Linked DNA regions of Tamandua tetradactyla. The protein of the gene in region 2 binds, or shares a complex with, the protein of the main gene of each other region. Links are inferred from orthologs where the notes say so. Each region holds a gene or a part of one and is shown on either strand. Other genes may lie near its edges. The genes, in order: SMARCE1, SMARCC2, SMARCD3 and SMARCD1.

Region 1 (6,991 bases), on a different chromosome or scaffold from region 2:
TGTCACTGGAAGACATCTGGGTTTTTGTATCAAGGCCAGACTTGGCTATTACATTAACAAGAAAATTAAAACTTACTGTTGCAGGAGCTGGGGTGGGAGGTGGGGCATAAGATGGTCTTTCTGTTTGAAAGAAAATAAATAACTTCTTGTAAACAACTGAGATATAATACTATGCAACAAAACTACCAATGGTCCTGTTTTGAAGGAAAAAAAAATGAGAGTATTTTGGAATTCCCACTTGCTAGGGCATTAGTCTCTTATTAACATAGATTGATAAATATAAAAATGAAACTTACTTGACATTTTGGAAGATTAAGTTCTCAGTTCCTTAAGAATGAATATGAGACACTAAAATAAAAAAAAAGAAAAAAAAAAGAAAAAAAAAGAGAATCAAAACTCAGCAAGCATAAGAGAATGTTCTCCTAAAGAATAGGGTTGTTTAATTGGTATCTTTGAGTAAAATTACTTTAAATTATCTTCAAGTAATCAAGATTTTTTCATATTTTACGCATTCTTGTAGGACACTTGGTTGATCAGAATTAAATGACTAAGAAAAATTACTGAGGATATTAAAAGTAATGTTAGACATATACTTTCAGGTCTGTTCTTATGATAGAGCCAGCGTTTGTATGGAAAACATTTTACTGTTGCCATGTAAACATTTAATCAGATTGATAAAAAGATAATGACAACAGAATGTGATGAACTATCAGGGCCCACTGGATACTGACAATTCTCCTGATCAGCAGGTTATACTTTTGCTTTTAAGATAACTTTCATTAAAGTAGCACAGCAGTTTATTCCTGGAGGCAGTGCAGAAGGTAACTGGTACAATAATGAGCCTTAACATTCTCTAATAAAGGTAAATATCTTCATAACTGGGAATAAATTTTGAGAATCTACCTGAAAACCCTTCTTTATCCCTCACAACCCATTTCAAAATTTATCTCCTCAATGGAGCTTTCTTGATGAAAGATCTGGGCAGAATTAATTGCTCCCTTGTCTGAATTCCTTTCCAGTTTGCAAATATCTACCAATTGTTTATTTATCATATATATATATTTTTTACCTGCCAACATGGATGGTGTGCGTATTATATGCAGAATACTTGGCAAAATTCTTCATAAGTTTTGCCCTAGTATTGCCAGCTCATATGACCATACTCACATGAGCTTGTTTCTTACATCAACATACATCACCAATAACGTAGTATGAAGAAACATTCATTTTTAGAAAAAAGGCAAATCAACTTCTATGACCACTGGACACTTTCATCCAACATTAGGTGCAACAAACATGTTTGGTCCTAGTGTGCATTTTAGGGGAATCTCCTGGGGTATAAAAAATAAGAGGCCTAGCATATAGAAAGATAAACATTCAATGGCCCAACCTGAGTCTGTTCTTCCTTCCCTTAAAAAGAAAAGACAGGTTGAAACCACCGACTCTGGTGCAAATTTTCTTCCTGCTCTCATTCAGGGAGCTGTCAATACCCAGTAGGCCTTGCTGTGAGAAGCCCTGATGATAACTCCACAAACTCCACTTCATTGTTAATACTTTAAAATCGCTGATCTCTCTTGCTAGACTATAAGTTCTAGCAGTAGGGTTGTACATCTGTCCACCACTAGATTCACCCCGTGCCTGGCCCATGACAGATACTAAGCATTTCAGAATGAATACCTTATACGGGACAGACTTATTACCTATATCAGACCATCTCGTTCAACAGTCGCAGTATACAAGACGTGTACTGCTATCCCTATTTTACAGATGTAAAAAAGGAAGGCTCAGCGACTTGACGTAACTTGTCTAAAGCCACCCAGCCAGTAGGTGCCAGAGGTAGGTTTCAAACCCAGGCCAGACTGTTTCACAGCTTTTGCTCTTCGCTCCAAGTCACACAGTGGGTCCTCCTCATATTGCTGCCTGAACCAATGAGGACCACCTTTCTGGGGGTAGAGTACGGGCTTGGCTTGCCCCGAGGGCTTCCTCTGAGATAATTTCCTTTAAGTCTGTCGGGAAGGATGCACTTCACCAGCAACATAACTAAGGCGGGGGTGGGGGATGGTGGCGGGGAGCGGTGGGTACGCTCTGACGCTTGGACCTGTTGTGAGGAGGAGTGGACGGGGCAAATTTCACCGCCGAGGAAAAGCCCCAGACGGAACTCCCATCTTCGCTTCGCTAGGCCTCAAAGAGCACAGAATCGGTCCCCAGCCCTAGCCCCTCAGCCAAGCCTGAAACCCCAGCAAGCCCTGAGAACTCAGGGTGCAGCCAGGCGGAGAGACAGAGACTTGTCACCCTCCCGACCCGGTCAGGCCCAGTTTGAAACACTCACCCGCGGGCAGAAGGAGCGCCCGCAGCTCCGGCTAGGCTTCCCTTTGTCCCACGCACGCCCCGCCCCTCGCGTCCGGAGCTTCCGCACTCGCACTTTCGACACTTTTCTTAATTTCTCTCCAGCTTTCCCCCGACTCTCCTTAGAAAAGTAATCCTAATGGTGAGGGCGCGGGGATACTTAGTGCCATCAAGAATTTTTTTTCAGGCCGCATTAGTTCCTCAAAACTCACGAATTTCGGTATTTTCTCGGCTAGGCGCCGATTCGTCACGACGGAGAGGGAGAAGTTTGCCCGACCACGGGATAGGCCGGGATTTCGCGGTCGGGAGGAACAGAAGCGGCTTCGGCGACAGGTGACGCGGCGGGAGCTGCAAAGCTGTGCCACAGGGAGGTGGGGGACGTGGCCTCAGCAGCCACGCTTCGAAGACAGCGGGAATCGCGCTAAGGCGTGAGACCCCGGAACCACCGTTGCCAAGTGGGCCGCGCCTGGCTGGGGCCGCGTCCGTCCCCGCCCCCGTGTTCCTCCCCCACCCTCCGCCCGGGTCCTCTTCCTTCTCTCTGGGCAGGAGCTGTGCATCTTAGCACGCCGAGGGTGGAGGCGGGAAGGACTGGGTTCACAGAATTTTCCTTCTCACAGGCGCCTCGCACGGCTTTCTACTTTAACAGCCTGGCATTATCCTTGATGAAAAGCAGTATGGAGTTTTTCAGTTATCCAAGCGCTTTTATGGTGTAAGTGCCACAGTTCCCCGAGGCAAGGCCCGGACGCGGTAAGCCGCGCAGTGTCCCCGTTGCCACTAGTAACTGCCTCAACCTGTCTTGGTTAATTCGGTTCACTCAGCCGGGAACTATTGTCGCCACTTTAAGTTTTAACCTCATTTATCCTTCCGGATGCGGCTCACAGGTCACTTTGTGATGCCCTACTGAAACTTTCTCCCCAGTAATCCTTTTTCTGTGCACCCATGGCACAGAGAAAGATAAAAAAAATTATAAGATTAAAAGCTTATCATTATTTGATGATAATTTTATTGTAATCGTCCACCTGACTTTTTCTTTTCTTCTTCTTCTTCTTTTTTTTTTTTTTTTTTTTATCAGTTTGTATTTAACTCCAGCGCATTACGAGGGCATTGAAAGCAAAGGTCCAGGCGTCTGCATCAATCATCTTGAACTATTATTAGATACTCAGTAAACATATACTCAGGCAGATTTCTAATCTAGTCCAGGGCTCTTTTCACTAAATAATGAGTAAATTGGCTTACCATGTGGCGTGAATAGCCCCTTCCTTGTGAATATAAATATCTATTTTTGCTGATGTTGTGGCCACTGTGGAGGAAGAAGGAACAGATGGGATCCTTCCTTATCTGTAATTACTTTGAAAACAGTGTTGCCATTAAGAGTGTATGAATTCTTGCTCTGCTCTCAGAATCCACACTGGGTGTGCTGGCAGGGACCGGGCATCTCTGGAAGGCTGCAAAGCCAGGGACTCATGAAACTGTGCAATTCTTCCACCTCTAATAATTTTATGTTAGTGACTAAAGATCAGTGAAATTGAAGATGTATTGAAAGGAAGGCTTAAAGGTGAGGGCCTGGAAGGATAGATAACAAGCAGCCTGAGTGGTGCTTGAGATAATATATATAAATTGATTTTTTAATGTAAAAGCATCAGAGACATGTAAAGGAGTATTCTGAGACACATGAAGCCCATCCCAATGTCTTGTTTCTCTGGCCTTGACCAGCAACTCCGCCTGGTTTCTTCACTGCCTTTAGGATTATAGTCAGGGGATTGGGCAGGTATAATGCTGGGACAGATGTTCAATTGTATTATCTCTAAGCAGGCCTCTGAAGAAAAATTGCAGATGCTGGATGTTAGAAACAAAGCGCACTGTAGTGTGAGAACGGTGGCACAAAAATGGTGGGAAGAAAAAGGAGGGTATCTGGGTAGAGCAGTGACATTGACTGATCACTTTCTTACCTCCTGGTCTTTGCTCAAACTGACCTATTTAAAATTGCGACTTGTTCCCCCACCCCCCTACTCCTTATTTATCATCTGTGCTTAATTTTTTTCTACAGTACCTATCACTGCCCAATATACTGTATTTTTATGTAGTTATTTTTGTTGTTGTTTTTGTCCTTCCGTTGGAATGAAATCTCCTTGATCAAGGGTAGAGACATCTATCTGACTAATTTTGTTCATTGCTAAACTCTGATATCTGGAACTGTGTGGGGTAAATATAGGTGCCAATATTTGTGAAATGAATACATGAATAGCTATTCAGTTTTTCCCCCTTTAGTTCTTTCTCTCTTGAAGATTTACAAAGTTAAGAAAAGAAGAAATAGGCAACAAAAGATAATAGAAAAAAATATTTTCCTAGTCTTGAAGAAATTAAGGCTGAAGAGTGAAATATCCAGCAAGGTGGACTGTACTTAACACTGACTTTTATAGGCACTAATAAGTCCACCATTGTTATAGGCAAATGGTGGAATTTGCTCATTTTCTCAGCCGTTTCTGTGAAAGCAGGAGTCACAGGAATTTGTTTTCTATCGCTGGAAGTAATTGTGAAATGTTGAAGCCCTGTAGCTTTCAAGGACAGAGTAATTCACAATGTTCTATAGAATTTGACAAAAAATGTGGTATGCTTTTACAACTTTCCTTATCCCCTCAATACCTTGATTTGGGGCATGATTTTTGATACATGATTGGAAAGAGATGAAAATATTTGAAAATGGAATGGTGCTAGTCCTGGGAAATCTGGGGTCGGGGTCTCTTAACCACAGATAATCCACAAATATCTGTTGATCTTATTGAGAATCTAGGATCGGGTTCAACAGACTACAGCTGCAGGCCAATCCGGGCTGCATCCTATTTTTGTAAATTGTTTTATTGGGACATAACCATGCCTATTCATTTCCATATCGTCTGTGGCTCATTTGGGCTACCAAGGCAGAGTTGCATGGTTCCTACAGGGACTGCATGGCCCGCAAAGCCTAAAATATTTACTGTCCTTTCACAGAAAAGGTTTGCTGACTCCTGGTTTATAATTTAAGAGTGTGGGAACATTGGAAAGGACTTGTCCTGATTTGCACATATGCCTTATTTTGAAATGTTTATTTTTAGTATGTCCATGAATATTGGAAATCTTTGTGAACCTGCTGGCCATAACTTGTTAACATAGAGCCAAATTCTGCCTTGTGTACAGAGATTCCTTTGATTTCATGTGTTAATAATATCAGTAATTTGTATATACATATTAGTTAACAAAGTTTAACTTTGGTCCAGGTGCCATACTTATTTCTATTTGAAACTTTCAAATTAATTTAGTTTTTTTTTTTACTTTAGAGAACATTTTTGTATTTTAAAAAGTGTCATGGAAGAAGTTTAATTCACTGGAAAAGAACATTTCCTGTCAACAATTGAAGAATTAGAACTACTGTCTTTATCTATGTTACTTATCATTGCCAGCTATAATTGTCCTCACAAATTCTTTACTCCCAAAGACAATTTTCATCCACATAGTATTGTATATTTGAGTAGTGCTTTACAAAATATTTTCATATGTGTATTATTTCAGACAACTCTGTGATGTGGGCAGGGTAGGAATTATTATCAGGTATCACCTTTTCCTTTGTTTTCGGGTATACAAATTGAGGTCTGGGGAACTTAGAGTGATTCCCTCTTGCTTATATGGCTAACTAGTAACTGTAGTTAACCTAGCCCTCTAGAACCTGGGCTAGAATTTTACAATGTTAGTAATCGAAATTAACTCCTTATTATATTTTGTTATGGAAGTGTGCATTTGAAATATTTTAGCGAGATGGAAGAATATTAATTTCTATTCACTTATAAAATGAGGATAATATGTGCCTCATGGGACTGTTTTGAGGATCAGAGATTATGTTTGAGCCCACTGAGCATGTGCCTAGAGCATAGTACACACTTTGCAAATAGTATGCTGTTGTTATATTTTCTCCAGGACCATGGGATTTCTTTGATTTTTTTTAGGCTGAAGTACCAATATATCATTCTTGTGTAAAAACCATTATCTACTATGATGGAATTTTTCTTTTGTACTCAAATGAGCTAACCATATTGAAGCAATTGATTCTTTGTTTTGCTTAGACATGCAGAGATACTTACTTTGTGTTTTCTTTTGAATGGGCAGGCACTGGAAATCGACCCGGTCTCTGGCATGGCAAGCAAGAACTCTGCCTGCTGAGCCACTGCGGTCCCAGAGATATTTTTGAATTAAAAGAAGTGTATGAAACTCAAATACAATGCAGCTTTAGAATTCAAGTTTAATTTTTTTTATCTTAGTGGTATAATTTACTTTGGCAAATTCATATTCCAATTTAAAATGTCTCAAAGCAAACAAAACGTTGTTATAAACTCAAGTATTGTTAAATGTACCTGTTATACACACAATAGCTGCATAGTGGAATTACTATAATAAGCGGTTACATTCATGATGTCCAGTTCTAAATTTTTAACACTGCATGAAGATTACACTAGACATACTGCTTTATTACAATTACTGTTGCTTAGTATAGTAACTTTAGTACAATAGGTTTTATGATTGCATTTTTTAAACCTTTAATAAAGTTAGTAGCATTTAACGAATACTGAATGAAAACAGTTGTGTGTATAGAATGTATTTTAAGTCAAATACTTAG
Region 2 (7,711 bases):
AAGTCATGAGTTCTTATGGAGAACACTGAATCAAAGGTGTTTCCACAAAAATGATTAGCCAGTGATTGGAAACATGGGTCTGGAGCTTAAGATCAAGAAGTTTAGGGCTGAAGATGTGGATTTGGGAGTGGCCTGCCCAGAGATGATGAAGGAATTATAGGAGTGAATGCCAACACTAAAGGAGAGAACAGGGAAGAAGGCTAAGGATGGGACCGTGGGGAATTCCAGAAGTAATCTGGACTGCAATCAAGAAAATAGATACACATGATAGAGTAGGCTACTGTTGTTTCTGCCCCTACCCCCCCAGTAATTTTGTAGTAATGAATCATTTAAACATGGCTCATAAATTAGCTGTAAAAGAGTTCAGAAATGTTTTGTGCAATGACAGCATCCTTGGAACAAATACAGGTTGAGATAATTTCAGCCCCAAGTCCTTTTGTCATTTGTTTCACTGAATAAACAGCAGCGACAGAAGGCTCTTAAAATTTGGAACAAGTCAACAAGTTGGAGGGGAATGATATTAAGTTTTTGAATATTAGATTCCCCCATATTGGCTCTTTTATATCAGTCATATGAAAATTTTTATAAGAGCTAAGAATAAAAGCCAAAAAGATCATTCGAGGGTAGCATTTGCTAGTTGGTATACAGGTGAGGGGAGAGAAGGCACTTCATGAAGAAAGGCAGGAACTGGGCTGTCACATTGAGACAATCAGTTTAATTACAGTGGTAGAGAAAAATGCATAATTTAGGCAGGGTATGTTGGTGTTTGATCAGAGGAGGAGCTGAAGTTCTTGGGCAGGGAAATAATGTGATGAAAGCAGCCTTTTAGAATAATCATATTCTAAAAGAATAATAATCATATTCTAAAACCATATAGGGTGGGTTTAGAAGTGACCAAACGGGGACACCTTGAAAGCCATTGTAACAAAGTCATGAATTAAAGTTATATAATGGAGCAATAATTGATGAATGATGGGAACAGAAAAAGAGAAATAGCAGATAATTCTTAAGGTTGGAAACTAGAAAGACTTGAGAGAATAGTGCCAACAGAAATGGAAAAGTTGGGAATGCAATTCTAGGAGAGGAAGAGAAATTTGCGTTTTAGGTGACCGTTGGTCAGCTATGCAGATATATAGGCAACTAGAGATACAGGACCATGGTTTGGCTGTACACGTGGAAAGATGGCTTAGGATATTGTCTTAGGGAAAGGAAGGAGAATGAAGCTTTAGTAGACTTCCACAGAAGGACAGAGAAAAAAAGAGATGGGGAAGCAGTGTTCTGAGTAGGAGAAAGACAACACAATGTCTCTAGAAACAAACAAGGAAAGATTTTTAAAAGAAACCAATGTTTCAAACATAGCAAAAGTTTAAGAATGAGAAAAGACTATTGAATTTGGCCAGTGTTTCTATTAACGTCTTTTTAAAAGCAGGAGGCAGAAACAAGATGGCAGGGTATTAAGATAGTGTGGAGCTGGAGGCAGAGGGTATGCATTTTATTTGCAAAATAAGAGGAAGTAGAAAACAATGTGATTTGGCAGTGTCAAGTGAAGGTGTGATTTTGTTCTGAATTCAGGAAGGATTGATCCAGAGGAGTAGGAGAATTTGAAGGTGTTATGGAGGGATGCTTGTGGAAAATTCCTTAGGAGGTTGAAATGATGGGAATAGAAGGTTGAGGGCAGATGAGCAAGGCCAAATACTGTACCAGGAACTCAAGAATGCCGGTGAATGTAATGTAGTAAATACAGAAGCGTGGCAAGAGAAAGGGGACCAGATCATGCAACACAAAGATACAAGGACAGAATTTGCAGGGGAAAGGTGAAAGAACTGGGGCCATGGAGATGGTAAAAATTTGGTAAAATTTTTGGAAATTATCTATTATTCATGAAGATAGAGGTAACACTCAAAAGTTAGTTACAAGGGAGGCATCTGAGAGTGAACAGGATAGTCCCCAAGTGCCAAACCCCGTATGCCACATTCTCCTTCTCAGTCCAAATCCTCCATTTTGTAAACCATGGAGCTGCCATCCCTTCACAACACAGTTATTGGTTGCCCTCTGCTGGTCAATTTTGGTCTTGTTTTTAAGTCTAAGAGTATGAGCAAAATGGTATTTGGTAGGAAGCAGAGCACTGAGCCTACTAGATTCTATGAATTTATTTAATACATATTTGATTACATCTACAGATAAGGCATTGTGAAAGACAGCCTAAGTCTAAAGAAGTCCAGTCCAAGTGACAATTAAAACATGTACACATAATTACTGTAAAAACATCCATTTATTCAACAAATATTGTTTTTGTTTTTTGTTTTCATTTTGTGGCTTATATGCGCCTGAGTTTATGTTCTATACTTCAAATAATAAAGTTAAGGCATAGGATATGTTCAGCAATATCTGATCAGGGAAGACTCCCCACGAGAACCAACATTTAAGTGGAGGCTTAACCAACATTTAACCAACATTTGAGTGGAAGGTGAGAATGAGAAAGAGCAATTCATGCAGAAAACAGTACAGGCAAGGCCACATACTATAGCAGAAGTTAAAAGAATGGCAGTGAGTGAAATATAGTGAATATGGAAGAGTGGTGAAAGAGGCTAGATCATGCAAGACAAAGGGCAGACAAACAGCAGCCATCAGGGGCTTAAGGTCTCAGGCTATAGTACCCATCTTTAGTGCAGTTTTAAATTAACCCTACTTTCCTGATGAAAGCCCAAGTACCTTGGTGTAGTATGTGGTGGGCTCAGCCTGCACTCACACCTGAAGGAAGTAGACAGATTTGAGACATATTTAGAAGACAGAATAAGTAAGACTTGTTTTTATATATTTTATGGAGGCATGTCAAGGGAGATGCCTTGCATACAACTCAGGAATGGTGGTAGTAGACCAATAGGTTGCAGGTGAAATGATGAGGCACAGCAGAGAGGGGCTTAAAAGATATGATGATGGGAGAAGAGGTGGGCAATGGTGAGGGCAATCCACAAAACAGCATGAACAAAGGTATGAATGAACTGACACAAAAACATTCTCAACAAGCAGCCTAGCTCTTTCCCACAACAGACATTAGAGGATAGGAAGAGCCAGGTGAGGTGAGGACAGGAGCCTTATAGGTCCTAGCTTGGTTAATATACAAAGAGAATTTAGAACAGGGCCTGGCACTTAAGGAGAACACAAAAAGTGACAGACAGTTAACTTCCCAAACCCTGGCTCCAGCTCTTTAGTGTTTGTTTCAATAGGTTCCCCCAACCCCAGCTCTGTGATGCCTGAGGTTTATCTCCTCAAGAACATCTGAGTGAGAGAATGTCCTGTTTCGTGGGTTGTCAGTGTAATAAAACCCACAAAGTGTAATATAGTAATGGAAGTACAGAGGTGCCCTCTTTTCCTAGAAACTCTAGGTTTGACTATCATTACAGAGAAAAGCACTCACATTCTCAAACAAAATTGAAACACCCCTCTTCATTCAAATTCTTTACTACCCTCTCTCACAAGAATGAAACTTGCGCCGAACACTCTGCTGGCAACACAGTTAATAAGACTTAAAGTGCCGTGTAGCCTAGCAGCCAATACAACTGTGCATAATTAAGCTTCCTGTGACTTCCTTCCCCATACTGCTCCACCACCACAAGAAAAAAAAGAAAAAAAAAATCCAGAGGTGAAACCTTTGGCTTTCCTTTCCGAGACAGAAAGAGAAGTGCAAGAAAGTCACTTTTGGGGATTGGGACTCCCTTTATGAGTTGTGAAGGTAAAGCAAACAAAAACCGCTGCCGTCACGAACAGGATTCGAACCTGTGCGGGGAAACCCCATTGGATTTCGAGTCCAACGCCTTAACCACTCGGCCACCGTGACTCCCAAAAATCGCGCTTTCCCGCGCGCTTACAGAAGGGATTCAACTTCTGACCCGGCAAGAAGTACAACTGGAAGCTAGGACCCGACCCCTCTGCTGTGGCCCTCCCTCTTCTTACCTCCTCTTCGGCCCCTCAAAGGAAAAAAGTCAGGTGGACAAGATGGTTCTGGAAGGTAGGGTCTCCCGCCTAGCATAGAGGGGTCTCAAGGAGCGAAAACTATTTAGGATTTGATAGCGGGGCCTGAAGAGGAAGCAGTTGGTGGGAAGGGACTAGAACTCCAGGGTGGCGGCCAGGGAACTCCTCGGGTTAAAGGGTGAGAGGACGGTCCCTGGACAAGACGTCAAGGGTGAGGGATCCTCGAAAGTTTAAAGGGAGAGCTGCTGGGGAGGGATGAAAGGAAGAAACCTTTTGGGAAAAGGCGTTTGAGCTTCTGTGGAATTAGAGATGTGCAAGGATGAGAAAAACTCGGGGCTCCAGGGTTGAGGGCGATGGACGTCCCCTTGAGGTAGAATAGAGAGGTTCCCCATCCCCCGGGCAGAGGAGGCCAAAGGAGAGAAAGGGCTTAGCGTCAGTTAAGGAGCGATCTCAGCAGAGTGGGCGCCCCCTCCAGGAAACAGCCGTGTCCCGGGAGATTCCGGCTGCCGCCACCGCCGCCGCTGCCACCGCCGCCGCGGCCGGGAAGGCCACCGGGGTCGGTCCACGCGTGGGGCCAATCTGCCGCCTCTGCGCCCGGCCTGCCGGCAGGGGGCGCTACGTGGGCCGGGGTCGGCCGTGGCGGCGGGAGGCGGCGGCCGCGGCGGCGGGAGGCGGCGGGAGGCGGGCGGAGGAGGCGGGAGTTGAGCTGAGCGGGGCGGGCGGCGGCGGCGGCGGGGCCGGAGCCTGAGAAGATGGCGGTGCGGAAGAAGGACGGTGGCCCCAACGTGAAGTACTACGAGGCCGCGGACACCGTGACCCAGTTCGACAACGTGCGACTCTGGCTTGGCAAGAACTACAAGAAGGTACGCGGCCCCGGCGGGCAGGCCCGTGGGGGGTGCTGGGGGCGGGACAAAGGGGCCGTGGCCCCGAAGCCCCTTCCCGGATCTTGCCCACCCTCCTGCCGCCTCCGGCTCCTGCCCGGCGGCCTTGAGCAGTTCCCAGGCCGCTCCCGGTCCCCGCCTGGCGCCCTGCGCCCCTGCCCCAGCCCATTTTACACCCCCAGCCTCTGAATTCAGCCCCCGCATCCCCCTCTGCCCCTTGTTTTTCTCCATTGCCCCGGTGGGCCCGATGCCAGCAGCCCATCCTCTCCGAAGCCATCGTTTTCCCGGCTTCTCCGAGAGACAGCTAGGGGTGGACGGGGTCGGCCAAACGTGCCCGCCACAGTGCGCGCCAGAGCTCCCCACGGAGCCAGGTACCAGCAGGGCTGAGGCCTCCCTGGTGCTTTGTGTGTGTTGAGAGAGATGATGAAAGCGGGAGGGTAAATGGTCATAGAGCAGGCCCCTAGCTACTCATCACCCTGAGAAAGGCCCCCAACCCAAATCACCTGTCTCCCGGCTCCTCACCCCCCACCTCCGTCTAAGCGGCAACAAACCTCTATGGGTACTAGTGTATTAGATTTCCTGGGCAGCGGCCCCTTCTTAAACCATTCCTCACCTTCATAATGAAGTCACCCTGCAAGCTAGTCTTGCATTGCATTGGCTTTGGGGTTCAGAACCTAAGAGGAGTTCCATTCCTCTAACCCTCCCCATCCCCATCCCATAAGTGGAGGTGATAAGGTAGTGAACAAAGGGTTCAAGAAGCTTTACCTGTCTTTTCCACCAAACCTCTTACTGGTGTCTTTGTCTTTAAGCCTGGTGACAGGAGCAGCTATACGAGAGGGTTTTCTCTGGAGATGATCTGCCTCTCTTCCTTCTCACTACCCCCCAGAAAGAGAGTTAAGAGCTCTCTTTCTGGCTTTCTTTCAGCCTCCTAGCTCTTCCTGCCCAACTTTGCAGCCTGTCAGAAGTGGAAGTGTGATGGGTGATTTAGGGGGACTCCCTCTGTGATCTTGGTTATGAGTCTGGCCCTGTTCTCAGGATCTCTCTCTGACAAACAGCTGCTGGATCTGTGCTTATCTTCACCCCAGTGTGAGGGTCTTGTTCCCAGGCTTCTACTTTGACTTTTGGAAGAGAGATCAGGCTTTGGGCTTAGTCCCTGGCCCTGGGGAGATTGACAGCCTGTGACCTGGTTCAGCTTTCATGCTCTTAGCTCTTGTCATTTACCTTTTCACTCATTGATCTCCTTACACCTCCCACTGAGATGAGCTCTCTTCTCTGTGATTAGGGTTGAGGAAACAGAGGTCAAAAGGTAAAGAGAAAGTTAGCTTTCTGGCTTGTTTTTAACTTAGAACAGAAGGCTAGGTTGCTAGGTAGCTTAATATGGCTATGGCTAAGAAGGCCCTGAGTTGCATCTCAGATATAGTTTCCTCATAAAGGACAGATGTTGCATTACTGTTCCTTACTGGAAAAGTAGTAGCTGATCCTTCCCATCTAGGAGTGCCTACAGCTAGCACGAAGACATTTGTACCCACTTCCTAGCAGAAGCCAAATGCATATTCTTTCTGTCTGCTTACCCTACCTCACTTCCTTGTGCCTCATTAAGCTACATTATAGGGGGAAACTTGGCCTTCCACAAAATTCCCCCAAGAAATACAATGTTGGCCTGCATAGTGAGCCCCAAAGATATTGCTTCCCTGGCCTGAACTCCATATACCTTCAGAATTTTAGAACCCTTGGTGTTCCTGACTGGAGATCAGGTGTCAAGATAACAGGGTCCTGTAACAGGGTCCTGTAATTTCAAGGTATTGCTGAGGGAAGAGTAGGAAGTTTCTTACATCTCCAGCACCCAACACTAGCAATCTGGCTAGTGGAAGGAGGAATTCAGCTTCCTGATAAGGGTTGATCGGGGCCTTCTTTCTGCTACTTTCTTTACAGAACTAGGCATCCGAGGAGAAAGGCACTATTTTCTCTGCCCTAGATGCTTCTAGAACTCCTGGGAGAGAAATATGGGAGGTGGTAGATCATTTATCTGGGGTCTGTTTTTCTTTGCTTTTCCCATTTCCCTAGTATATACAAGCTGAACCACCCACCAACAAGTCCCTGTCTAGCCTGGTGGTACAGTTGCTACAATTTCAGGAAGAAGTTTTTGGCAAACATGTCAGCAATGCACCTCTCACTAAACTGCCGGTGAGTGCAAAACCAAGGTATACATACTCCAAACTGGAGAGGGAATTTTACTTTTTTGTATATTTGTAAATTTTATACTTTTTAAAGTTTGGGTCATTTACTACCATTCCTACCCCTTGTCAGGGCATCATTGGCTTGGTCTAGTCCCTAATTTATTATTCCTTTTGTCTTAGTAATACTTTGTGCAACAGGTATGAGATTTGGATTTGCTTGTGTTCAAATCTTGGCTCTGGCCCTTGGTGGCTCTGTTATCTTGGACAAGCCATTTAACCCTTCTGAGTCTTAATGCCTTCATCTCTAGTTGGGAATAATAATACCTACCTTTTAGAGTTTTTGTAATGATAAATGTGGTACTCCTGGAAAGTGCTTGGCACAAGGTGATGCCTTATGAATTTTGGTTTCTTTCCCTTCTTTCTTCTAAGCCACATGATACAATAGCACAAGGGTTAAAGAATTCCATCTTAAGAGGGTGATCAACATAGAATTTTGTGAAAGGATTGTTAGCTGATGAGAATTTAAGATATAACTCTCATAAACTTCTTTCTTGTCTCAATTTTGTAGATCAAATGTTTCCTAGATTTCAAAGCAGGAGGCTCCCTGTGCCATATACTTGCAGCTGCCTACAAATTCAAGAGTGACCAGGGATGGTGAGATGCCTTTTCTCTATGCTTCTT
Region 3 (7,584 bases), on a different chromosome or scaffold from region 2:
GGCAACTGTGGCTCAAGGAGAAAAGCAGCGTCACCAAGGTCACACAGCTCATCCTAGCAAAGGCAATACCTGCCAGGACCTAGTCTTTTTTGCTCTCTGCTGCTTCATTCAAGTTAGGGGCTGAGCTCCTTGCTCTGACTTCTGCTGTTCCTCCTTTTATTCCCTCCTTCCTATTCTTCACTTCCTGGGCTGATCAGCACTGCATTTACTTCTTCTCATCTCAACCCACTCATCTCTCTGGGCCCCCTGCTTTTGACCCCTCAACCCCAAACACCATTCCCTTTAGGCTGATTCCAAGTCTCCATACCCAGGTACCTCAGCCTCACTAACTTTGCCCACACCCATGATTTGCTCCCAAGATGAAGGCTGGAGGTAGGGCAGGAGGCAACCTCGGCTGTGAGAAGCTGCGGGCTGAGGACAGACCCTTCTGTGATTGGGAGGAGTGGGGAAAGCTGGCCTAGAAGGGGGATGCCAAGCACACTTTGGGCAGGTCAAAGCACCAGCCTTAGATCTTACATCTTTCCCTCCCCTCCCACCCACCAAGCTCACCAGAGATGGCCCTATCCTTACAGATCTCCTCCACTTCCCACTACTACCCCCAGTGCAAGCCACAAGACGGTTCAAAAGAGGCCAAGGAGAAGGAGATGAGGCAGCAATCACTCTCTTGCCACTATCCCTGGGTGGTCAGATGGGATGTAAATGAGATGCAAACGAGTCCAAATTAAGTGCTCCGCAGGCTTTTAAAACCCAATTGTCCAGATTCCACAAGAGGGATTGGGCAGGGCCAGAGGGGCTGTAAGGAAGAGAGTGGGTGGAATGGAGACTGGGACAAGGAGAGCAAGGAAGGAGCCTTGCCCCTGTTATCATTTAAACAGTACCCGCTTCACCCCCCGGGAGCACAGCTGCCACCAGACACAAGGAGGAGCCTGAACCCTGGGCTTGAGGTTCCCCTTCCAAATGCCAACTCTCCCTAACCCTAATGCCCCTCCTACCCTCAGCCAGCCAGCTGTCACAGCCCATCTCTCCCGCAGTGAAACCTGCTGGTTCATGTGTCTGCCTCCCCCACCCCACCTGACCCTGTCACTCACACCTCCAGGGTAGCAGAACAGAATGGGGCCCAGACCCAACCATTCCCCACCAGCATAGGTCAGGGCCTGGGAGTAGGGCTGTGGGGCTCTCGGCCACCCAAGAACTGAATCTCTGAATTGGTCATATAACAAAAAATCCACATTAATAGCCTCTCTCCTTCCTAGATGGGTCATTTTAAAGGGACTCCCCAGGCAGCAAGGGTGGGACTTGGAACTCGGCTGGTGGACACACACACACACCCTTGGGAAGTTACCCCCAGAGATCCCTGGAGCTGGAGGACAGGCTGCCCCAGGGATGCCCTTTCTTCCCTATCAGGTGCATTCCCCATTGATCAAGGCCAGGGATATCCACTGATCTGCTGAAGAGACCCCCAGAAAACTGTGCCAGCCATCAGGGCTACTTCACAGAAGGCTAAGATTCTAAAGACTGGCCACCCTCAACTGAGAAGGTACTGGCTTTGGGGTCCTAACCAAATTTGTTCATAATAATCCTGACTGCTCCTCTATACTTTGCTTCCATCCCTATCACCTATCCCAAATCTTGGAGCCCCTGCCATCTCCCAGTGCCTGAATCATCCCCACCCTATTCCCACAACCTTCCCCAAGCTCTCCTAACCTGGTCTTCTGCTGACTCAGCTCAAGTGTCCCCTTCCCTGGTCTCCCTTAGCCCCCCTAAATGCCTTCACAGCCTCCTGTGGCAGGACAGGGCTGTTCTGTCCCTTTGATCTCTAGGCCTCATATCCCCATCTCTAGCCCTTCCTTCACACCTTTGAGGCTTTGAGAACATCAGCTTGTGGTGACTGACTCTGCCAAAGGGACCCTCAGACCCCTTCGCTGGAGGTCTGTCCCTACAGAGGGCCTCTCTCTGAGCCTGATGGCAGAGGCCAGCCGCAAAGCCCCATTGCTCCCCTGTCAGGAGGCAGCGGTTGCTCATGCCAGAGAGTTTCCCACTCACAGTGCCTCCAGGGTCACCTGCTCCTTGCTCCTGGGGCACAATCAGAGAGAGACACCATCCCAACCTATGACCAGACAGCCCAGCCCAGTCAATGCCATGCCCCCCACTACGACCCCCCCATGGGGAAGAGGTAACACCTGGGCCCACAAGGAAAAGAATAGAAGACAACATGCTTGATTCAGAGGGGGCCCCCTCACTTGGGATAGTCCCCAAATCCCACCCCCAGCCCCTGACAAGAACCCATGCAAATGCTTCTCCCTTTCCCGCCTGCACACCCATCCCCTGCCAGCCGCCTGGTGACGTGTTCGGGTGCCAGGGGCACTGGCACAATCCTGGGGCTGGGCCGTGGGCCGTCGCACCCCCCAGCTAGAGGGGTGAGAGCAAGGGAGCGCCCTCCCGGCCCCTCCCAATCATCCCTCCATTCAGCCAGAGCCAGCTCACTCACCCTCCCCCGCTAACTTTCCCCCACTCACCACCCCATGGACCAGAAACTCAAAAAGTTTGCTTTTCGTGGCTTTGCGCGCCCCTCCGGTAACTTCGTCCGCAGCCATCGGGGTGGGCTCAGCGGCTCCTCTCACTCACTCTCTCTCTCTTCCTCTTTCTTTCCCTTTTCTGCCTTTTTTTTTTTCCTCCAACTCTCCCCTCTGAGTCCTGCTGGGCTCTCTCACACTTCTACTAGAGCGGAGTGGGGAGGGGGCCCCTTCAGGGCTGCCCTGACGGCCCACGGCCCACGCCACTCCTGCTCAGCTGCTGCCACCACTGCCGCTGCCGCCGCCGCCGCCGCCGCTGCTGCCGCATTCCTGCACTGATAAGACAGAAATAGTCCGGGCTGCCCGGGGTCTGGCTGTTTACTCGGCGGGGACAGAAAATCCTGCCTTTTCAAAGCTGGCTGTCCAAACAGCGCAGATAAGCGGGGAGGCAAACTGAAAATACTGTCTCCTTGGCCGCTGGGGTAGCAGCACAGCAGCCGGAGGCCGGCTGGAGGGGCCCGGGGAGGCTGGCGAGGGGGTGGGGACGGGGAGGGGAGGTGGCAGAGGGGGCTCGCCGGCCACCCGGAGCTTTCTCCACAAATAGTTTCTCGGTTAGGGAATTCACCGGCAGAGCCAGGCAGGGAACAGTCAGCTCCAACTCATCCCCCCCCCCCCACCAAGTTGCTCCTGCTGCATTTCTGAGGCCCTTTCCCTAGGGACCTGGCAGGCCAAGTACGGAAACATTCACTGGCAAGGAATCTGGGGAGAGCCTGAGCCCGGAGGAGGCCTTCCCTCCTGCCCCAGGGTGAGGAGCAGCGGTGGGGTATGCCTGGGCAGGCGGATGTCCTCCTCTCCCCAGATGTATGTGACCCTGTCTCCCATGGCTGCGTGTGTCTGTGTCCTGGTGTGGGCAAGACTCTGTGGCTGTGGGTGTGGACAGTTATTTGTGTGTACAACAGACAGATGCCTTTTCTGTGTGTCTCTCTATGAAAGGCTCTGGTGTGTGTGTATGTATGTGCATGGGCCTATGTCTTTCAGCTCTCTGTGAGTCTATTTCTGGGTATATGAGTCTTTGTCTCTCTGAGAGAAAGTGAGGGTAATAGGGGAAATATTTTGGAAAGAGGGACAAGGATCAAGCTCATGACAACAGGGAGAGAAAATGTGAGGGAAGGCGCTGGGGGTGGGTGCACAGAAGGGTGGGTGGCAGGAATGAGGCAAGGAGGGCTTGGGTGCGGGGTGGGGGACCTGGAGTAGCTGGGGCTGCTGGGTATGGTGGGGGCAGCCTCATGACCCCAAAGAAAGCTGGGGTGGAGAGGCTGGGGTTATGAGAGAACCCCAGGAGGGGTGGTGTGGAGGGAGAAGGCAGCCCGGGGTTTGGAGGAGGGGCAGGAAACAGGAAGAACAAAGCCTTTGATTTCCCAGGAGGGGAACCCGCCCCCCCCCCCCACGCCCCTAGACTCCACAACCCTCTCTTCTCCTTTCTGTGGGTCCCACAGGCTTTGGGACAACAGCCTATCAAGTTGACAGGCCTCTAGGGGCGGCCCTGCCAGAATCCACATGAGGCTAGAGCAATGCCTGGGAGGGTTGGTTGGAAAACTTCTTTGAAGTTAGGTCCTGAAGACTTGGTATTACACTGGAGGTGGGAAGTGGTCCTGACCATCAAACCCTTCAGAATGCCTTCAGAGCTCAGGACAAGGAAAACCAAGGGAGTATTTGCCCAGCTTGATTTCCCTTGGGCCCTGGTTGTGCTCTTGGGTGCCTCTGTCCATATGTGTGTCCACTGTCAAGCCCCCAACAGGCCACAGAAAGCATCTGGGTCCAGGACACCTGTCCTCCACCCCAGGCTTGGCAGGAGTCCTAGAGATCCCTTTCCTACCAAATCTCTTCCAAGGCTTCACCCCAAATCCACACACACAGAATGTCTTGTCCCTGGCAGGCTGGGTTGGGTGGGTGGGTTGCCTCCATCCGCCATCACCCATAAAGGTGGCTGCTGGTAATCTGGAGTGGGGCATTCTGAGCCACACCCCAGCAACACCCTTCTCTCTGCTCCAGTCTCCCACTAACCTCCAAAACCCCAGACTCATTCCCATCCCTCTGCTCCCAGTATTCTTTTTGCCTGGAATGCCCTCCATTTCCCCTCGGCCTGTCCAAATCATACCCATCCTTTCCAGTGCAGGCCCCACCTCTTCCAGGAAGACATCCCTGATCTTTCTCTTCTCTGATTGCCCATGGCTCATCTACTTTGCCTCATGAATTGACACTGGATTAAGTAATGTCTGATGTGCCCTGCATTCCATGTGTGTTAGGTTTGGTTTCCTCAGTGATGCTACAGCTCTGTAAAGTAAGGAACTGGCCTCTCACTCCCATGCCTGGGCACCAGGATTCAATAATACAAAAATGCCTGATGATGCTCAAAACCACCTAAAAATTCAGTGGACCAAGATCACACTCTGCCTTGTTCTTCAGGGTGTGAGAGTCACTGTAGCCACCCCCAGGCCCTGTGAGAACTTCTAGCATGAGAAAGCTAGACCACAGGACGTGGAGGTTCTGGGGGATGAGAGGGTATGACATCTCCAGACTTTGTGTAAAGCTCAAAGTTCTCAACTCTGGAAGAGACCTTTTGAGGAAAAGAAGGGAGTATGAGGAGATGGGATGGGCACTCCCTATTGGGCAAGTGGGAAGTATTAGGGTGGGGCATGAACAAAGGTGGGAGCCCCCCAGCACCTGTGAAGGGGTTGGGGAGACCCCAGGGATCAAGAATCAAGGATAGGCAGTTCATCAGTCTAGGAGATGGAGGAGGTGATAGGTGTCACTCACCTCCACAGACAAACCCCTCCTGGGCCATGCCAGGATCACAACCTCTTCCACACCCCCTGCTGGCTTTGCCACCCCTCTGGGAGAGATCCTTAAGCTTGCACAAACCACAAATACATGATGCATACAGACACACACACACACACACACCAAGCACTCATGCTAATGCAAATGCCAAAGAGACAAGGAGCCAAGAGGACTGACACACACAGGCACACCTTGACCACCTCCATATCACACTCACAAAGCCCGAATTTACAAGGCACCGCCATCAGACACGTTTACATGCCGCTTTTACAAAGGTGACCAGAGGTGTGCAGGCTCAGGGGAGTCTTCAGACCAGAAAGCAGAAAGCAGGGGCGGAGACACCAGTTGGGGCACACCCAGCCAGGGCTCCCTCCTCACAAAGGCCGGATCCCCAGCAGCTCAGCCCAGAAGGACGCTCCAGCAGTCACCACTGCTGGACACGCGGCCGGCTTCCACACAGGCCCAGGAAAAGCCCGGCTTCAAGCAGGGAGACGGCCCTTCCTCCCAGTCCGACGGGGATCTCACTCCCTGTCCGGCCCAAGTAGCGCTCTGGGTAGGAGAGTGCCTGTGTGTGTCTAAGGAGAGGGCCAACTGCCTGTCTACCCAGGACAGAGGCTCCGGGCTCGCCTGGGCTGCCTCTCGGCAGCCCAGAGCCGGAGTCCCCCCTGCCGTCCCCCCATCTCTCCTTCCCTCACTGAAGCACCACCAGCACCAAATGGCAAAGCGCCTCTCTCCACGCAGGGAGAAGGATGTAGCCGCGGCCTGCCGGGACGGGCTGGGGCTGCCTTCTCCCCCACCCCCTCCCGAACCACGCCAGAGCCGGCAGCGGCAGCCCGGGTGTGCAGTGTTGGGGGCGCGTCCCGGCCTGGCAGCCGCCGCCCCCCTCCACCCCAACCGCGGGGTCCCCCGGCAGTTGCGGGAGCCGGCCGGGAGTCGGCCTGGGCATGCGCACTGCGGCCTCCCTCCCGGTGAAGGTCAGCCCAGGGCCTAGCTGCAGGACTCAAAGGCGGCGGAGAGAGCTGGAGGGGGAGGAGGGATGCAGGGGAAAGACTTAACTCCTTCCCTTCGGGAAGATGGCCACCAAGGCCTAGGGCCTGAGCCCTGGGTCCGCACGCTCCCTGGCTTCTGGGGAAGTCCCATTACTGGGACAGAGCTCAGGGAATTGGGGGAGGGGGAGGGGGAGGGGGAGGAGAAGGGGCTGAGCGAATGTAAGGAGGGAGACTACAAGGAGAGAAGGGAAGCTGGGAAGGGGGAAAGGGAGAAAGGGAGAGGGGAAGAGAGGAACAAAGGAAATAAAGACTGAGGGAGGAAAGGACTGACAGGGTGAGACTCATCACCACCAACCGCTTTTCCTGCACCCCCAGCAATAGCTTTCCTTAATTGGATAAAGTTAGCCTCACTGATTGGTGTGTGTGCGTGTGTAAAGTGAGACCACTTGGAGCTCTCAGGTTGGCCCCTGGCATTTCTTCGTTCTTAAAACCTCTAGGCTCTGCCTAGAACCAGCAGAAAGAGAACCCTTTCTCATCCCCATCACTAAACCACCCAGAGGTAGCTCTGACCCAAAGCTGGCCTAAACCTTTCCATGCCCAGCTCCTGGAAGTGTGGGGGGCCTGCACCCCAATCCTCCACCTGAAGTGAGGGGTTTCCTTCAGCCTCCAGACAGGGCATTTGAAAGATCGGACAAGGGGTATCATGGCACATTCCTGTCCCCCAACCCCCTGGCTGTCCCCACGGTTCTTCCAAGACCTGGAGCAGCGCCCATGTGCCTGTAGGCTTGTGTAAGAACAGTTCTGTGCCCAGGACTCCCTCTGCTGCTATCAAAGGGGCTGTCTGCCTCTGTGTAACTTCACCTCTCTGTGTTACTTTCACAGACACACAAATACAGATGGAAGGAAGCAAAACAAAGAAAATAGTTGCGTGACCTTGGGCAAGTCGAGGTATCTCCTTGCCCTGCCATAAAGGAGGTGCTTAGGCCAGAGAATTCCCGGGGCCCCTCCTGCTCTGAAATCCAGTGACTGTAAATGTCAGAGACAGGAGCTAAGTCAGACAAGGAGAGAAGGAAGGTAGACGGAGGGAGGGAGCCAGAGAGACAGAAACAAAGAGAAAAAGAGATGCAAAGAATGAGATAGTCAGAAGACCCGCCACAGAGACAAAGAGACACGCCAAGTAAATGGGCTCTGCTAACAAGGAGTGGAAGCCTGGCCCCTGCTATCAGCCTCTCCCCTCCTCC
Region 4 (7,190 bases), about 12 Mb from region 2:
AGACAAGTTAAGCAAAACTAACGCACACAACATAAAAGCAAGCTTGAACGAGAAAAGTCTGACTCTAGAAGGGAAATGAATCACTGGCAATGAGCAGCCAGAACAAAAACGGCTTTATTTGGACCAAATGACAACACCAGCAGATGGAATGGACCTATATAGAGAAGGAGGCTCTGACACCGAGCCCTGCTTCTCCTGCAAACGTGCATTCAAATTAGCTTGCCTGTGGCAGCTTAAATTAAAAGCTGTCGAGTATGAAGGAATGAGAGGTGAGCTTCCCCACAGAGCTGCTGTGGTATCAGCTGATGTTCTTCATAAAGCAATGAAAAGTTTATCAGAGACATCTATCCCACTTACACTGTGAGGAATTAAAGTTGGGAAGAGGGAAATACCATAGTGGGAATCAATGACCTCAAGGACTCAGAAAAGGAAAATTATGGCCTCAAATGTCAAGAGCAAACTCAATTGATTAAGGAAAAAAACTAAAGTAATCTTCAGATACTGGTGAATCCAATGGCCTCAGCACTAGGGGAAGGGAAACAACAAGTCAGATCCCAGGACAATAATGATACCCATAGTGAGGGTCAAAGTTGTGGGAGACAGACACAAAGAACCATTGTCTTTCAGTACAGAGAACAGAGTGTCCCTCGTCCCTGTGCTCCCAACAGGAGCTGTGTTCACAGTCTCAGCAGACCAGAGGACACTGCTCATTCCCAGCAGCTCCCACCCTAGACACACCGACCTCGGTGGACCTTGAACTCACATCCTCCAGGAGCCGTCCTTCTACCCGAAGCTCCCAGGAAGCCACTGTCCCTTCCCCATCCTCGGCATCTGATTTAGCCGGATTGAAAGTGTTAGAAATGAAAATTCGCAACTTCCGTTTTTGCTGTGGGGAAGGCAGAAACAGGATTGATGGTGGGGCTTCAGCGGTTTGATGTTGCAGACAAGGATCTCCCCAAACCCCAAAATTACTCCTAACAAACTGGCTTACTGTCTACCCAGTCCCTAGGGTTGGTGGAGATTCCATCCAGGAGAAGAACACAGGCCACTGGCCTGAGTGCAAGTGCATACACAGGGATGCCGGGTGGATAATCATGCAAGGTGCCAGGATCCCAAGATGGGAGAGCAGTTATAACAAAAACACGGACAAGGTATATTTCTGATGCAAGAGACATCAAAAGCCCCTCCCCTTTGCCATTCTGTTCTTATGCTCCTAATGTAATTCTCTCTTTGTAGGCAGAAGGGAGAGATCCAATTTAAATGCCAGAGAGAGCTATGTTATGCCTTTGATTTCTCACTAAGACTGCTGAAGTTTCCCAAGTTCTCTCCTTTGGCTTTCTGCCTAGCACTCTCCTGTGTTACCTTGATGGGACGTTTCAAGGCCTCTTGGATATCTAGCCGTTTCCTCATGATAGTCTGGTCCAGTTTCCTTTCAAAAGCCAAGAGATCCATATAGGCCTGGGATTCTGGCACCAGTTCACGAATCTTCAGAACAGAAAGATAACAATTAGGTTCTAGAGCTGACCATCTCTATTCTCAAACTCACTGTATCCTCAAGAAAACCTATAGTCTGGACTCACCCTTTGAGGTAGAATTTTGTCAGCCATCTTCTTTTTCTTTGCACTGTTCAGAATAAATACTGTTATTAGATGAGATGAAACTAGTCAGAACATGAAAACAAGCTGTCAGCACTCCATTTATAGAATGTGGAGGGGCTGCAAAGCTCCTCTCAAATCAAAGAGCTCCCCTTTCACATTCTCATTCTTGAGAAATGAGTCCTGCAGCCCCAGACTGCTGACAGGGAACCACTATTTCTTGGTTCAGAATACTCCCACCACCTTTGTTCTCATAGATCTCCCCCCTCCCTCCCTCTGCCCCAGAGTCATCTTACTTGTGGTTTCGATTCTGGACCGCCTGCTGCTGGACCTGCTGGATCTGCTGAGGCGCAGGTCTCTTGCGGGACTGGTCCATCCCTGACTGTGTCAGGCCAGGTCGGACTGAAGGGTTCCCCCCATAGCCAGGGGGTCCCATGGAAGGTCCCTGAGGTGTCATTCGGCTGCCTGGCAGCATACCTGGTCGCTATAGAGGGAAAAGGACCCAGAGATGTCATGGTTTCCCCTATTAAGACCAACAAGAAAGGAAAAGTGAGGGATGCCTGAGTTCTTTAAATGAAACCAGACTGGTATGGTAATGTCGAAATACAAGCAACTGGGACTTTCTCCACTCCAACTGTGATTCCATGGGTCAATATAGCCCAGAAAATAAGCGATAACCAGAATACACTCAAATGCTCTCTCCTATCTACCCTAGATCTGACACATTTACCTCCCACATTTACTCTGCCAGCTATTACCTCCTTAGAACTTGACCCCAATTTGCCAGCTATACCCTCTGTCTTCCTCTGGGCACTAGAGCTGCCAAGCCCCTGTGGGCTCCAGCCCTTACCTGCCCACCCCTGGCCCGAGGCCGTCAACCCTGATCTCATACCCTGACATGCACGGAAACAATACTCCTTTTGGAGTAGGTAGGGATGCTAAATGTCTCCCCCTCCTATTCTTCGCACTAATTCTCCTCACTCTACACAGGGCTTGAATTCCTCCCAGGGGAGCCCCTCCTACTTCTCCCCCCACCACACCCCTGTCACTCCTGAGCCCCCATCGGCCCCGCCTCCGGCCCGAGCGCTCCTCCTCCTGCCCTACTCACTGGATAGGCCGCTCCGGGCATCGGTGACCGGTAAAGCCCTTGACCCGGAGCTGGGCCCATTCGCACTGGGGGCCCCGGAGTCCCGCCTGGACCCAGCGCGGCCGCCGCGCCCGCCCCTCCTGAGGCTCCGGCGGCGCCGCTTGGAGCCACTGACTGGAAACCCGCCCGGGCCGCCATCTTCCCCGGAGCCGCTGCCGCAGCTGCACAAAGAACCGGAACCGGAACTCCCCCTGTCCTCCGCGCGCCCCCCGAGAGCCCGGCTGTCCGCCCGCCGGCCCGCCTGGCCCGGGAGGCTCAGGGTAGCGAGACTGTGGGCTAGAGCGGGAGGGCTAGCGGAAAAGGCTGAGCTTGACCACTCCCTCCAGCCCTCACGGTCCGGGAGGGACGACCACAGAGATGAGCTCTGGGATAGAGAGCCACTGTGAGCGAGCGCCCTCAAGCCGACGGGAGGAAGACAAAGACCTGGAAAAGGCGGACCCCAGCCCCAGCCTCAACCTTCTGATGCAGAGGATGGCAGAGTAACTGCTTCGTCCAGGCGCAGCGTCCTTAACCTTCCAAAGTGCTTTGACTGTTTTCATTTCACTCCCTATTGCTATATCTACGGGGTGCTGAGGATGAGAACGCACTATTTATTCTATTCTACAATGTAGCTCAGAGGGTAAATGACTTGGCAGAGGTCATCTATCAAGTTAGTAACAAAGCAAAGCCTAGAATCCAGATCTACTTACTGGCTTCTAGCCCGGGGCTCATTCCACAGATAAAATGCCTGAATAACTACCTCATTCTGGAACTTCAACCCAACTTGTTCCTAACCTTTAACCTAACCTGATTCCAGATTTTAAATTCCAGTTTATCTTGAATTTGACTCTGTCCTCCTCTCCAAAAAATCCATTGTGGTGGGACTTCTCTCTGGGGTCTTTGTTGTCTTTGGCCTCTCCCTCTTTACCTGCTCAGTGGTTCAAACCATTCCCAGAGAGATGGTCAGCCTGTTCTATTCTAGGAGGATCAGGACCTCCCTACTCAAACCCTGTTCTTACTCCTCCCCCTCATTCTTTGGAGCCAAGCCAAGTTCAGCATTAGGCAATTGATGGGAAGACCTGAATAACTTTCCAAATAACTGAAGAACAACACTGAAAAGGAGATGGTTGAAACCCAGTTTATTACACCAGAGGCATGCGTCACTCAGAGCCACACCTGCTGTTCCCCATCCAGTGCACACTTTTGGCCTTGCTCCTGATTCCCTTTGGGAAGGTGTGCTCTCTAAGAACTCCTAAGAATCAGGAGTTGCCAAAGATCCTACAGCTTCACTCACCAGCTCCAGGCCAATGCACAGGTGACCTACCCATAGGTCCTGTTCCAGGGTTGGAGACCAAGAGAAGGCTGGGCAGAGAAGGTCTGGGAAGGGGTTGGGACTGTGGGCTGGGAGGGATGCCTGTGGAAGGGAGAGGGGGCTAATCCTCTCCCTCACTTGCCTCTCATTAAGGTAGCGTGGAACAGAACAGCAGAGCTTTCAACTTTTCCTCTAGGCCTGTCTCTTTCCTCCCACTGCACACCTTACCTCACCAGAAAATGTGAGTGGCAGGCTTGAATATCAGGTGAGAAAAGGGAACTGGGCACCCAGAAGGAGGGAAAGACCATGACTGAGGACCTCAGCTTCTTCCTGTCCGCACTCCGCTACCCCCACTACAGGAGTGATTGACCCCCAGCTTCCTTCTGAATCTGGCACTCCAGCCTCTAGCTTGGGAGAAAGATTCTCCTTGGCTTAGGGTGTAGACTAGGTCCCCATTCCCTGGATGGGGGCTATCACTGTAGCAACATTCCCCCCTTCTCCTCAGAGGCTGGAACCAGCCAGGTAAAGGGTACTGGGGAGGGTGGAGCAGAGGAAGAGAATGTTAAGGCTGCAGGGAGGGCAGAGTATACCCAGGTTGGGAGGAGAGGATGAGGCCAGAAAGAGGCAGAGCTTGTGATTCACAGCTTCCTTTATGTCGCCACCAAGACAGTGCGAAGTTTACAATGCGTGTGTCGTCTCCTTGTGCTTCTCAGAGGGATGTGTGTACACAGTACAGACACCAGGGGAGAGAGTCCAACTCTTTATACAGGCGAAGGCATTCAGAAACCAGGGGGAGGGGGAGTCAGAGACACAGAAGGGGGAACTCAGGGTAGGGGGTGGTTTCCAGAGACAAGAGTGTATGGGGAGAGACAGACAGGGTTGGAGAAAAGTATATACAGAGATATAGCAATATAGAGTCTGTATCATATAGAAATAGAAAATGCAGATGAGGTTGTTGAGAGAAGCAAATGGAGTTGGGGAAAAGGACTTGGGAGAGTTCCATAAGAAAATTTATGGATGTGGCCCTCTGCAGGGGCCCCTGGGAGAAGGACCAGTGATTTCAGGCACCAGTAACCCTCTCCCTGAGCTGGAAACCAACCAGCGGGGTCTTTTATGGGATGTAAGAGGACGGCTGCTTCTTGGGATTTCTTTCCAGCAGCTACGGCTCTAGTGTGGGGGTGAACGTGTAAGTATCGGGGTGTGGCCTACAGCACCAGGGCCGCATCTTGCCCCCGTCTCCAATTCAGAGGATCACTGCACCCAGCCCCCTAGGGACTCCACATGGTGTGAGGAAGTGAGACTGGGGTCTTACTTTCTGCCTGAAGACTTGGGATTGGGGTGGGGGTGGGGGATCACTGCGTTGAGGGGGTCTCTTAAGGCTAGGAAAGCCCCTTCCCAGCCCTCCCCCTCAAGATACATTCTCTGGTTTGGGGCCAAATTCCAGACCCCAAGGATCCCCTGCCCCACCCACTGGGGGGGCTTTGGTGACTGGTGGCAGCAGAATGTAGGTGGACGCTCAGATGACAGACGGAGAGAATTCAGGCTGGAAGCTAGGGGAGGCAGCATGGGGCAGAGCAGGTCAGCCTGAGGTCCCTTGCCCCCTTCTCTCTTTTTAATTTCTTTTTTAGATTAGTTTAGTTTTGTTTAAAAAACAAACAAAAAAAGGGATAGAGGCAGGGAGAGTATGGTCAGGTCAAAACTCCTTCCTCACCACAGAGGAGAGGAAAGGATTGTCCAGGAGTGGGGGACTGCCCTAGGAGGTGGCCATAAGTCCTGGAGCCGATTGAAGGGGGCAGCCGGGGGAGGGGACGGGGCCCCTGCTCTCCTAGCCCTCCCCATCTAGGCCTTTGGTACAGGGGCCTGCAGGGCTCAGCAGGTAAAGTCCTCGAACGTGCCTCGGGCCGGATGGTGAGGTAGGATGTTGGCAGCGTACGTCATCCCGGCAGGATGGCCCCGGAGGCTTTCGCAGGGGTTCTAGAAGGGCACACACAGGACAGGGACTGGTTATCAGCGTCACAGGTGTCACTGGGGTGTGGAGGAGGCAAAGGAAGGATGGTGTGAAGGCACGGGTGGGGCGTGGGGGGTAGGTGGGGGCGGGCCCCGGGGCAGCGAGGGGAGGGTGGGCCCCGACGCCACCTCTCGCTGGCTTCCTCACGTGTCTTTTCACGTCGTCCAGGCTGAGAGCCACACCCTTATCCGCGCTGCTCCTTTTGGCTTCCTTCTGGCACTTCCCTCTCCGGCACAATTTGTGCTTAATGACCTGCGACAGGCGGCGGGGTGGGGTGGGACCCCTTCCGTAGGCTCCGCCCCTCGGCGTAGGCCCCACCCCCACCCCACCCCCACCGCTTACCTCGTAGGCGTAGTCAAAAAGCTCCAGCACCGTGAGGATGCTGGCCCCGATGAACAGCCCCATCTGGCCCCCGATGTCACCTGCGGGAGGGGTGCGTGGAGGTCAGGGAGGTCACCGTGGGGGCGGCACGGCTCGCAGTAACAGGGGCGAACAAATCCTATTCACGAGGGTGTTGACAACCTTCATGCACGGGCGCAAAGCCAGCTTCTGGTGGGGTTTTTATGTGTTTTTTTTTTTTCCAGCATTTTCTACTTTTCTAAAATGCATAGGTATTATTTCACGTAAAACAGTTGCTTACAAAATACCCAACACTCTTAGTCTCTGGACCAGTTTTCAGAGAGTGTGAAATAGCCCCTGTAACCCTTGTCCCTCCCCCGTCCCCATGCCCATGGGCCGCTCGCTTTACCCTAAGAAAAGGCTCAGCCCTCTTGCCCCACCACATACCAAGGCAGCAGGGTTTGGGGAAGGGTTCCTGGAGTGGGGACCATATGAGACAGAGGTGAGCAGGGAGTCAGGCCCCGCCCATGGCAAGGGAAGGAACAGGTGCATTCAGTAGCTCACCCAGGAGCCCTGCAATCTCATAGGCCTTCTTCTGCTCAATGGTCTCATAGTTGAGGACTTCAAAGAAAATGTCCAGCACCAAGATGTTCTCCCTTCAGTGAGGTTGGGGGAGGAGACACAGGTTCAAGTCATAGCTCTGCCTTTCACAAGCTGGGTGACCTTCACAAGTTAGCCTTTCTGAATCTCAGTCTCTGGATCATAAAATGAGATGCTAAAGCTAATGTACCTTGTAGAAGGATTGAATGA

Evidence for each region.
Region 1: SMARCC2 (region 2) and SMARCE1 share a complex: the UniProt entries of both Homo sapiens proteins name them as parts of the BAF complex. The link is inferred for Tamandua tetradactyla from reciprocal best matches to the Homo sapiens genes SMARCC2 and SMARCE1.
Region 3: SMARCC2 (region 2) and SMARCD3 share a complex: the UniProt entries of both Homo sapiens proteins name them as parts of the BAF complex. The link is inferred for Tamandua tetradactyla from reciprocal best matches to the Homo sapiens genes SMARCC2 and SMARCD3.
Region 4: SMARCC2 (region 2) and SMARCD1 share a complex: the UniProt entries of both Homo sapiens proteins name them as parts of the BAF complex. The link is inferred for Tamandua tetradactyla from reciprocal best matches to the Homo sapiens genes SMARCC2 and SMARCD1.

What each region holds. Positions count from the first base shown.
Region 1 is NC_135332.1:26,726,914-26,733,904, reverse strand, and holds the start of SMARCE1 (SWI/SNF-related matrix-associated actin-dependent regulator of chromatin subfamily E member 1), read right to left. Parts: upstream 3,021-6,991; 5' UTR 2,559-3,020; exon of another isoform or gene 2,468-2,558; 5' UTR 2,330-2,467; intron 2,305-2,329; exon of another isoform or gene 2,057-2,304; intron 349-2,056; 5' UTR 304-348; coding exon 297-303; intron 121-296; coding exon 77-120; intron 1-76. UniProt on the Homo sapiens protein: Involved in transcriptional activation and repression of select genes by chromatin remodeling (alteration of DNA-nucleosome topology).
Region 2 is NC_135333.1:123,240,126-123,247,836, reverse strand, and holds the start of SMARCC2 (SWI/SNF complex subunit SMARCC2), read left to right. Parts: upstream 1-4,669; 5' UTR 4,670-4,724; coding exon 4,725-4,835; intron 4,836-6,917; coding exon 6,918-7,037; intron 7,038-7,598; coding exon 7,599-7,684; intron 7,685-7,711. UniProt on the Homo sapiens protein: Involved in transcriptional activation and repression of select genes by chromatin remodeling (alteration of DNA-nucleosome topology).
Region 3 is NC_135327.1:195,192,457-195,200,040, forward strand, and holds the start of SMARCD3 (SWI/SNF-related matrix-associated actin-dependent regulator of chromatin subfamily D member 3), read right to left. Parts: upstream 3,023-7,584; 5' UTR 2,595-3,022; coding exon 2,517-2,594; intron 1-2,516. UniProt on the Homo sapiens protein: Involved in transcriptional activation and repression of select genes by chromatin remodeling (alteration of DNA-nucleosome topology).
Region 4 is NC_135333.1:111,100,619-111,107,808, reverse strand, and holds the start of SMARCD1 (SWI/SNF-related matrix-associated actin-dependent regulator of chromatin subfamily D member 1), read right to left. Parts: upstream 3,101-7,190; 5' UTR 2,881-3,100; coding exon 2,704-2,880; intron 2,080-2,703; coding exon 1,892-2,079; intron 1,624-1,891; coding exon 1,581-1,623; intron 1,486-1,580; coding exon 1,363-1,485; intron 887-1,362; coding exon 764-886; intron 1-763. Other genes in the region: ASIC1 (acid-sensing ion channel 1), read right to left, coding at 5,903-6,007, 6,189-6,293, 6,384-6,463, 6,945-7,036. UniProt on the Homo sapiens protein: Involved in transcriptional activation and repression of select genes by chromatin remodeling (alteration of DNA-nucleosome topology).